Saccharomyces cerevisiae S288C: one gene and its partners. Changing the gene in region 1 together with any one later gene gives a genetic interaction. Each region holds a gene or a part of one and is shown on either strand. Other genes may lie near its edges. The genes, in order: GLO1, YAR066W and RDR1.

Region 1 (3,165 bases):
TGCCACGTTTTCCAAGAATCAAATGAAATGTGCGTTCAAAGGCTTACTGAATTCTTATCTCAGAATCCCGGATTTCGGTTACGTATTAGGCATATTAATTTAGGTCTCCTGCCTTCAAGCAAACAAGGGTGGCCATTGGCCATCAAATTAATTTACTTACAAGGAGCTTCTTTGGAAAAAGTGACAATGCATATACATGAAAATGTACACATAGATGCAATTGAGGATGGAAGTTTCGAAAAGAATGTCATTGTAGAACTCGACGCTATTAATGAGTCAATTGCATTAATTAGAAACCGTGGCATCAAACTTCAGTTTGTGAGATCTAAGCTTGAACGCATAAAAACTTTTGCACCAGATATTTGGCATGTATGCGTTGATGTCGACGTTATAGTAAGTACTTAAATACAAAATATAAATAATAATTAGTGTATGAAAAGTCAACAAGAATGGTCATTATTGTAAAAAAAAAATACTAACCTCCTATTCATTTCAACTTTTTAGGCAATCAAACCATGAGGAACGACTTCAATGGAATAACCATCAGGATCCTTCAAAAAGGCAATATTCTTCATTCTGCCTTGGTTAAATTTAGGAGACCATTGGATCTTATCGCCGTATTTCACTTCAATTTCTTTACAAAGGGCGCCAGCGTCATCACAACTTATGCAGATGTGACCATAACCCTGGGGCTCTGAGTTACCGTTATGATAGTGGAAGTTTGGATCATTCTCAGTTCCCCAATTATGAGTTAACTCCAACACACTTTCACATGAAAAAACGCTGTCGGTCTTTGGAACGCCATAACCAAGAAAGTATAACGTAAATTTTGCACTTTCGTGCTCACTAGTTCTTAATAATTTCATGCCCAACACATTCTGGTAGAATTCTAAAGACCGGGTTGGGTTTTTAATACGAATCATGGTATGATTGAACTTGTTACCTACTGAGCCCTTTGGGTATTCCTGACCCTCTCTAGAATATGTGATCAACTCAATCCAGTATCCATCAGGGCCTAAAGCAAACGCAATGTCCTTCTGTCTTCCTTCAGAGAGTCTCTTCTTGAATTTGACACCCTGAGATTCTAGCTCTTCGCAGGTTTTATTGATATCGGATACAGAAAAACAGATGTGCCCAAATCCACGATGAGGTTCCTCATTCCCGTTGTTGATCTTGTAGTCTGGGTTTTTTTCAGTACCCCAATTGTGAGTTAGTTCTAAGACACCGTGTGCGCTAAAAACATCAGGCTCTCCATTCTTATTTTTGGGTATGTCGTCTTTTGGAAAGCTTAAAAAGTACAAGCTAAATTTTGCTTCTTCAAAATCCTTTCTGCTTAATAGCTTCATACCGAAGTGTTCGGTGTAGAACTTAACGGTCCTTGCTGGATCCTTGACTCTTAAACATGTGTGATTAAGCAGAAGGGTTGGATCATTCGAGGCTTTCTCAATCTGAATTGGATAGCGTGTACTATCAGTGGACATTGTTAGTTTGTAGCTGGTGGCGTATCTGGTCTGAAGTGTCAAAAAAAAGGCATGGAAATGTTATTCCGATTTTTTTTCTCCCTATTTATAAACGTCACTAACTAGAAATACGGGATATCAACTACTACGAGAGAGGGACATTCTAGTATCAAAGAAACTTACTATGACGCAGTTTAGGATCCCTGTGGTGACTACGTATCCAGGTCTACTACTCCATCGTAAAGCCCCTTGTTTATTCAGTGTCCAGATCATATGCGGGATGTGTATTTTGTGCTGAGTGGAAAAATAAGATCATATGCTCAAGAATAAAGGGTTAAAGGGTATGGAAATTTCAGTTCTCCCTGGCTCAAGAACATTGTCAGTATTCCTATAACTGAAGCTGAGTGGTACTAATGCACCGAGATGCAAAGTCCGAACCACCCCCACCCCCCTCTTTACCTATTTTTTATATTTTGTGATAAAGGGATAACTCGTCTTGCCTTCACTGCGCTTCGATTCTACTTTAGCTAAACTAAGCGTTACTTTGTTTGAGAATCTCTCAGCCGTTAAATCAACGTACTTGTATACTAAACAGTATATTCACGTGATAACTTTGCCTTACACCTATGATATAGATAAATATATACATATATATGAGTGTGTGTGCATTGCGTCACTAAACTATGTTTAATATGACAGAAGGTTTTCGTTTAATTTTGCCGCTACCCGAAAATTTTGGCAGTTGCAATTTATAACTAAAGGAACCACCTTATTGTAAATTCCTCAACGGAAAAGCTATGGCTTAGCTAGGGTTGACAATGTCAGTTTACCATTTACCAACGCTGTTGAACCCGCTGGTTAATGCTATATTTAACTGTCCCGAACCAGAAAGATCCCCATTGAAAAAGCTTTTCGCTAATTTAAAAACCCGTAGGTTTATCCTCCTAGCACCTCCTTCAGAATACCTTTTGAATTACCACGATGTCAAGAGCAAACTGCCGTTACATGACCTCTGTTATAATGCAGAGTTTATTAACTCTTACATATTGTTAATGACTGAAAACTCTTACATAAATACGAATTCAAGGGACAGTCATTATGAAACGTTAGATGGTAAGACCGTTGTTATTCAATGGAAGAATAATGTGATCCATGCCTTAAATGGATTTCATATAAGGCGAAGACTAAAGATTCTAGAGACAAAAATATTACCCAATTTTAATGACTACTTTGAAGGGGCGGCTGATTTTATCATACTATTCATAGATCAACCTTTAAATTGCGAATTTGTACCTAACGACTACTTACAGTGTTTTCACAATTATGAGAAAATACCAAAAAATGCACATGCTATGCCAAATCTGTCGATAGATTCTTTTCAGCAAGAAAGATCGTCATTCGAGAATATATTGCACATTCATCCTGCTCGATTAACACAGCTTGGCCAATTGTTTTCGAGTTACAGAACGCTCGCTCCTGGTGATGATCCATCTAGAAGTATTTTTGAAAGCATCGTGCAACAAGCATTTGATGGAATGAAATCGGATTCACTTTTCAAGAACTTTTCTAATCTTTACGATCTTATACACGACTATTTTGAACTAAATCTTTACGATGATATATGGTCTAGGCTTACTACACATTTCAAAGGCCACGAAGTAGACACTGAAAAAATAAATATTTTTCAGTGAACCAGTTGTTGACA
Region 2 (3,061 bases), on another chromosome or scaffold:
GGGCGCTAGAAGAGATCGTAGAAGAGACGGTGGTAGAAGCGTTAGAGGATAAAGTGACTGAACCAGTGGCAGTAGAGACAACACCAGAGGTAGTGGATGCGGATGTGGATGCGGCGCTTGTAGCGATGACACCGTCATAGTTTAGGTAATATGAGTAGGCGCCTGCGAAGATTCCTTCGGAGACACTGAAGCCAGAACTAGAGAATCCAGTACCAATTTCAAAAGAGAATTGTCTGTTACCTTGGGTTGCAGTTAAGACACCAGTAGTACCGTCGTAAGAAAGAGCAGTGATGTCGGCGGTAATGGCAATTTGGTTCTTACCGGTGTAGCCAACAACAGGAATAGGAGTGGCGTTGGTTTCGGTTGGGTCAACGGCAAGAACACCTTCACCCTTGAATACAACAGTTTGGCCAGTAAAGGTGTCAGGGTAGTGCAAGTATAGGTTACCAGAGACGATGTTGATTGTACCGTTTCCAGAAACTGGTTCAACGATAACATAGGTACTTCCATTGTCTAGGTTGATTTCACCGTTATTTACAGAGCCTTCATCGTCGTCTCTACGTTACAAACCGGAAACAGAACCACCGTTGAGAATAGCATTTGACAAAGAAAAGGTACCAGCGTTAGAGTATGGAGAAAAGGTGACTTCACCCTTCTTGGCCTTTGACAAACTCAAAGAAATGTCACCGCTGCTCTTGAACGAGCTAGGTGTGAATGAATAGATAGATGCGGAGACAGCGCCAGTTTCTTCAGCACTGAAGTTACCGGAAACTTCAAAAGTCTCACCAGAAACGTCGAACGCGGTACCTTCGTAGCTTGCTTCAGACTTTTCGACAACCAAATCACCGTGAACTTTTAGATCAGATGAGAAGACGTATTTTTCACCGTCAAGTAAAGTCAACTTACCACCGGCAGCGACTTCCACGGCCTCGGTTGCAATTACTTTACCAGTAACTGTGAGATCACCGCTAATTGTTGTGGATGGCAAATAAACGGTACCGTCACTGGAAGAAAGTGAGTCGGAAGCGGTGGCACTTGCACTAGCTGACGAGACGGAAGTGATAGAACTCAAGTCTGCGGAGGAGGTGCTATTGGTGTAAGAGTCACCGAGAGCGCCGCGAGAGAGTAGGGCCAAAGCGACAGCAGCTTGGAATTTGTTAAAACGATTGAACATCTCTTTTTTTTTTGTAATGGGCGAGAGTTTACCAATAAAAAGAAAGAAATAGTAAAGCTTGCAAAGATGAAAACTTGGACTGCTATTATGAGAACAAGAGTGAATATGACGATCCAGTGACAATGAAGCATATTGAAGTACGATTTACCTGCTTTTTATATACTTCTTCTTGTTACTACTCACGGACTCCTAACCCATAGCTATAGAGCCCGAAGCTACAGAGACCGATGGTGTGCTAGATCAGAATTTTTGTGCATGCATTTCTACGAAGAACATTCTCAAGCCCTGTAAGGCTTGTACGCGCGCGTTTGCCAACAGGGAACGAGGTGCTAATTTGCAGACCAACACATAAGCAATTGGCCAAAACAACAACAACAACAATAACAATAGCAGCAGCAGCAGCAGAACGCGATTCAGCCTGGCCAGATTATTGTAGAAGAGGCACGCGAAAACAAGAGCGGGGAAGGGGCAAGATTGTTTGTTACGTGGGCAGACGCTCAGCTACTTTCTATACAATCCCTACTCTGTGAGGTGCTTATTCAAGCAATGATCTATAACTTTGGCTCAGAACAGATCATACGCCAAAAACAGAAAAGAAAAAGATAGCTATGTCCTAATGGAAGAGACAAGAAATCTTTGCGGCTACCCTCGAGAGAGTTAGTGCACGGTTTCTCCGTAGCCGCGAAATGCTTCTTTTCTGTCCCTGAAGCGCACGGCTGCGTAATCTCACTGCGACGCGGACGGCAATTGTTTTCCCCGGAGACGTGGCTGACAAAAGTCCCTGTGAAAGAAGGCGCTCGCTCTCTTCCGTGGGTCCCTGCTATATAACTACAGCAAAAATCAATCAACATCCTATTCCTGACGAGAATTACTCCGTCTCGTTAAAGAATATCTTTCCAGCGTTTTCTAAGGAAACGCGCAATGTCGCTCGAACTACAAAGACTGAACCTTTGGGTTCCATTATAAATTCTTGAACTTGTTTCATACCCATATATAAGCGGTGCAAAAGACAAAAGGGAAAAACAAAAAAAAAATGAAGAAAAACGGACAAACGGATAACCGGCACCTTCTGTACCACTACATCGCCCGTTTTCGCCAGCATTTCATCAGCACAGATTAGATAGTGTATTCCTACCTCCAACTATCTTATGCTTGGTTTGAATATTTTGGCCCAGTTTCTCAGGTCTTGCTTCCAGGCGCACCCAAAATGTGGTCTTGGTGTGATTGTCGTCACCTTGCCATCCTCTCTCAAATAACGTGGTTCTTGGTAATCTTCTAGACACTTTCCATAGTTTCAAGTCACGTGCGAATTGGCATGTTGCAGAGATTTAGATGGCTATATTTCCTCAAGTTAGCGCATTTGGCTTACTTGATCAGGCGCTTACGAGCTACATTTACGCCTGTCTGTATAATTTTGTTTCTTGACGATGGGATTCTCATAAGAAAGTCCAGATTTGTTCGCAAGGTTAGACACTTTTAGCAGCTAGTGCGTGGTACTTGTAGAATTGCGAACCGGGCATTACAAAACAAGCCCTTTTTTAGCGCTGTCAAGAGCAGAAACTGTAAGTATGCCAGAGTTAGTTGCCGCCCCAATGCTCTTTTCCTGGGCCAATTCGAGAAGTTGAACAGCTTTGGATATTACTGATAAAGAGATGTTTGCCTTGGGGGGCTACTACGGTAATAAGCGTCTTGTCGCTAATGACATGCCAGCAATCACTAAGATTGTTTCGCTCTCAGAAGAACCAGAGGTGGAACTACTGGTTTGAATGACGGATGATTTAGATGATTCAGAGAATATAGAAGTGGAGGTCGTTGCAGAAGAAGAAATGACCGAGGAAGACATGACTGAGGAAGAAACTACAGAAGTTCCATTGCTGCGATAGAATG
Region 3 (4,169 bases), on another chromosome or scaffold:
GTATCCGCATGTGATATGACTATTTAAGTGTCACAACGGCATTCTTTTATTGCTGATGATAAGATCTAGAGAACTCTTCAGGGATGTTTTTCTACATACGTTCTAAGCTTTCCCACCTACACTAAACCAAATACTAATAAAGTGTATAAAAATTTCCGGACCACTCAAACAAAATTTCGCTCAGCAATACTTCAAATCTTGACTTGCTTTTATTTTTATCTTTCGGTTTTCCACCTGACGTTATCAACTTTTCTTTAATGAATTGAACTTCCAAGCTTTAACACTGTTCCTGAGCCTCTTGAGTATTGACATAAACAGTCAGACCTTCTCTCGTATTTTTATAGATCGAACTTGAACCATCAATTTGGTGCAATGCAGTGCAATTTGCATTTGGTTCAGACACTATGTCCAAGAAAAGAATATAATATCAGTCAAGGTTTCACCCCTCATTCCAGGCGTGACGGGATTTCTTTAAATTTCCTATTTTCAAATACCGGATATATTACTTTCTGCGCAATTATCAAAGATAAAATATAGTAAGCAGGTATTAAACATCAATTCCATTCCCTCTAATTATAAATCAATTTGCTTCTCGATACACATAATCTATAATACTCTTTTACATAAAGTTTAACGTGTCTGATGGATCTAGCAAAGCATCCCAGTCAATATCGAGTAGGTGAGTAGTTTCAAGATTAGATCTCTGGTGAGTTGCCTGCTCAAGCTGCTGAATTTCTTGTCTTTTTTTTTTCATGGAATCCTCAAGAAGCAGTTTTGCGGTCTTTTGTGCTTCAAAAGCAATACGTGTACCGAGAATTTGAGTAATATTATCTAACGTTTTCATGGCAGTAGCAACATGTGAAAGACTTTCCGGTGTGTCGATGGCAAGAAGGACACAGACGTACTGGAATGAGGTGCTCAACACATTCCACCATGCTTGATCCAGTTTTACAAGAGCGTATGCTGCTGATAGCGCAGTGTTGCCGATATCAATTATTTGTAAAACAACATTTTTATCAAGAATATGATTCAGCAAACGAAGTCTTCTATACAAAGAGAGGCATATATCACCCTTGGTCAACGACAAAAACGGATGTGCGTTTGGTGATTCATGAACGGCCGCCAGGGCCTGCAACAATTGCGCTGCGTTTGCGTTCACGCTGTCTTGGGGAATCAGGTGTGCTAACGCGACTAAATGAGCTGTAAAATTACCGTCCGTCTCCTTAACTGGCTTGCAAGTAATTCTATTCAGCGTAACACTTGAGCGCCCATAGTCATATGAAAGAATGGTATTGATTGACCATGCACACCAAAATAATCTTCTAGTGTGTTCGCTCACTACAGTAGTTCTTTTTGGTGGAACGTTGTTCGATATCGCTATATCCTCTCTGTCAATCTCATGATGCAGGCCAATTGCCTCAGAAAGATGGATGGTTACGCAGCTAGCTAACCATGCTACATGGGGCCTCGAAGTGGCTCGCAGGTAAATGGTGCGCAAAACCCATGCGGAGACTTGCTCCACCGTGGGAATGCGACTGAAAGTCGGGTCATCAAGGATCCCTTTGGCATATTGTACTATATCCATCTCTCGGGGATGGCCAAGACTTCCCATAAAAAATGATCCTAAAGCTATCACCCCTGCAATAACAGCCCCATACTCTAAGGTTTTTACGTCGCCATCCCAGTATTTTTCAACATTCTTTGCCAGTTGCTCTGGATTAACAACATCAAATATCGGGTGAACAACTGAAAAATAAACTTTTGAGATACGGTAATACTCTTCCTTTGTAACTAAATCAGAAAGAAGGACATGTGAGTTTGGATTTTCTTCCGGTCTGATTCCGCAATGCCAAGCGAAGGAATGTAGGCGTGGAGGATTAGTTGATCGGAGTTCGAGACCAAGACAGCGGGGGAAAGCAACTGCAGAGTGCTGGATCGTGTACCTAGACTTAGTTGGATCTACAATGTTTTGACTTGTAACGTTCTGTGTATTTATAGGCTGCGGTTGTTCGTTTCTATGTATACCCGGAAGAACAAAAGGTCTGCTCTCCGTATCAGGAGATGTTTCACCTACTTGTTGCACTTGAGGTGATGCCGAAGGGACACGACCGTCAATATAATGACATACATATCCATAGGCAACGCACATTTCACATGGAGATTTGCCATTACATTTCCTTTTACGTTCCCTACAGGGCACGCAAGCCTTTCGGACTCTTTGTCGCTTGTGTGGTAATGCTGTCGATCCTGGGGATGCCATTTGGTGAGCTTAAAGTAGGAAAGTGTGCGCTAAGTTATCTTACTGAAGTTCTTTCAGGTTTCTACTTGAAAAAATAATGTATCTTTTCACTCGAGAATGGCCTCTTGTAATTTTCATATTTATCGCACGATACGGGATATACTGGCTCCTCTCTATCACTTTGATCGTACTATATTTATTTCTATTAGTTTGGGTTATATACCACGATGAAGTATTTCTCTATATATGAACTTATTCTATAAAATGCTGCTTTTCGGAGATCCTTTTTTTAGACTTCATAAAAGTGCTCCATGCATACGTTGCTGCGACAAAAATGCCAAGTCCGCTCAACCCGATGCCCATGTACCACGAACAACGATATCCTTTCAAAGGCTTGGCACCTCCGTCATTTACTCTAGATTCAATTGTACCTGCAATACCCAAACCTATCGATATCGAATAGTTTACCACCGTATTAACCAAAGAGGCTGCAAGACCTTGATGTTCGTGTGGCATCGAGTCACTAAGCATTATTGTAGCGGCCGGAAAGGACATGTCCATTCCCCAAGGCATAACAATGATTGACACAAACGTTTGAGCCCAATACGTTTGGTGAACGGGGGCCGTAGCAATCAATATAGTTCCGACTGTGAAAGCTGTCATCGCAAAAAGCATAACTGTGCTTGGGGGTGTATGGCTTAGAAGGAAACCTGTCGTCACGGCTGCACAAAATCCACTGATTGCTACAGGTGAAAACTGTGCACTAGAAAGAAGGGGGGTTTGGCCCCTTGAGTCTTCCATGAACTGCCATGTATAGAATATCCAAATACCAAAGCTGGCCCATCCCGCAGCTATGCAGCTAAGTACAAAAGCAGTATCACTAGAAAGAGCAGCAAATGGTAGCAGAGGGAAAGCTGCTCGGGACTCGATATATGCAAAAATAACCAAGAAAAAGGTACCAACTATCAAAAGAGCGTATGTGTATGGAGTTTGCCAACCCACAACGGGGCCTTGGTTCCAAGCGAAATTAAAGAGAATTAATCCAACAACGCCGGTAACTGACCCTGCAAAATCGATTCGTTCCAACAACTTGAAAGATGAGGCATCGCGGCTTGGCATGGGGGTGTGAGGGATTACAAAGTAACCTGCTACAGCTAAAACAAAGCATGCAATACCCATTATCCAGTAAGCCCATGGCCACCACGCCAGTTGACCCAACATGGATGAGAAAACAGCCCCAAGGAAGAAGCCACCAGGTGCTGAAGCACCAAACAGACTAAAGACCATGTTTTTTCTTCTTCCTGGCTTATATGTGCGTCCGAGAATCGCAATGGCATTTGGCAACAAAAAGGCCGGACCCATGCCTTGAAATGCACGACAGCAGTCAAAAAAAATCTGATTAGAGTAGACGCTAAACCCAGCAAGTAAGGACCAAAGTGCGTACCAAAAGAAGCCAAGGACAAAGAATTTCTTGTGTCCGAAGATATCTCCGAGTCTTCCAGCAATTAAAATGAATGTACCAACAGTTAGCGAATATGCGGAAGCAAACCAACTAAGTTGTCCAGCATTCGTTGTTCCAAAACTGTTACCGATGATGTGAAGCGGCGCTAATGATTGTCCAAGTCCTGCCTGAGTCATTAGTTGGGCAGAGCACAGCACTCCGACAAAGGCACTCTCCCATAAAAGGGATTTAGGCCTCTCATCCTGAATATCAAACTCTGATAATACTTTATCCTCCTTTTTCAAGGCTTCCGCGTTTGTATCCAAGTTTTTCTGCGTTACGGAGGAGCTAGTTGACATATTGATTTTATGTTCTTTATGTTCCAGCAATTGATGAATGTACAATATTTGTTTTCTTTTCAGGTAGAGAGTGAGATAGAAGTAAGTTTCCACAAATGAAGTTATTGGAGGCTAGATATACTACTCCCTT

The links.
Region 2: mutations in GLO1 (region 1) and YAR066W together harm fitness more than expected from each alone (negative genetic interaction), as found in Saccharomyces cerevisiae (one large-scale study listed by BioGRID).
Region 3: mutations in GLO1 (region 1) and RDR1 together harm fitness more than expected from each alone (negative genetic interaction), as found in Saccharomyces cerevisiae (one large-scale study listed by BioGRID).

What each region holds. Positions count from the first base shown.
Region 1 is NC_001145.3:261,205-264,369, forward strand, and holds GLO1 (lactoylglutathione lyase GLO1), read right to left. Parts: upstream 1,482-3,165; coding exon 501-1,481; downstream 1-500. Other genes in the region: TRM12 (tRNA(Phe) (4-demethylwyosine(37)-C(7)) aminocarboxypropyltransferase), read left to right, coding at 1-405; YML003W (uncharacterized protein), read left to right, coding at 2,279-3,151. UniProt on the Saccharomyces cerevisiae protein: Catalyzes the conversion of hemimercaptal, formed from methylglyoxal and glutathione, to S-lactoylglutathione. Can use gamma-glutamylcysteine as a substrate.
Region 2 is NC_001133.9:219,162-222,222, reverse strand, and holds YAR066W (uncharacterized protein), read right to left. Parts: upstream 1,175-3,061; coding exon 563-1,174; downstream 1-562. Other genes in the region: YAR064W (uncharacterized protein), read right to left, coding at 1,726-2,025.
Region 3 is NC_001147.6:1,049,381-1,053,549, reverse strand, and holds RDR1 (Rdr1p), read right to left. Parts: upstream 2,261-4,169; coding exon 620-2,260; downstream 1-619. Other genes in the region: AMF1 (Amf1p), read right to left, coding at 2,492-4,039. UniProt on the Saccharomyces cerevisiae protein: Transcriptional repressor of multidrug resistance genes, such as PDR5. Required for growth on non-fermentable carbon sources like lactate or glycerol.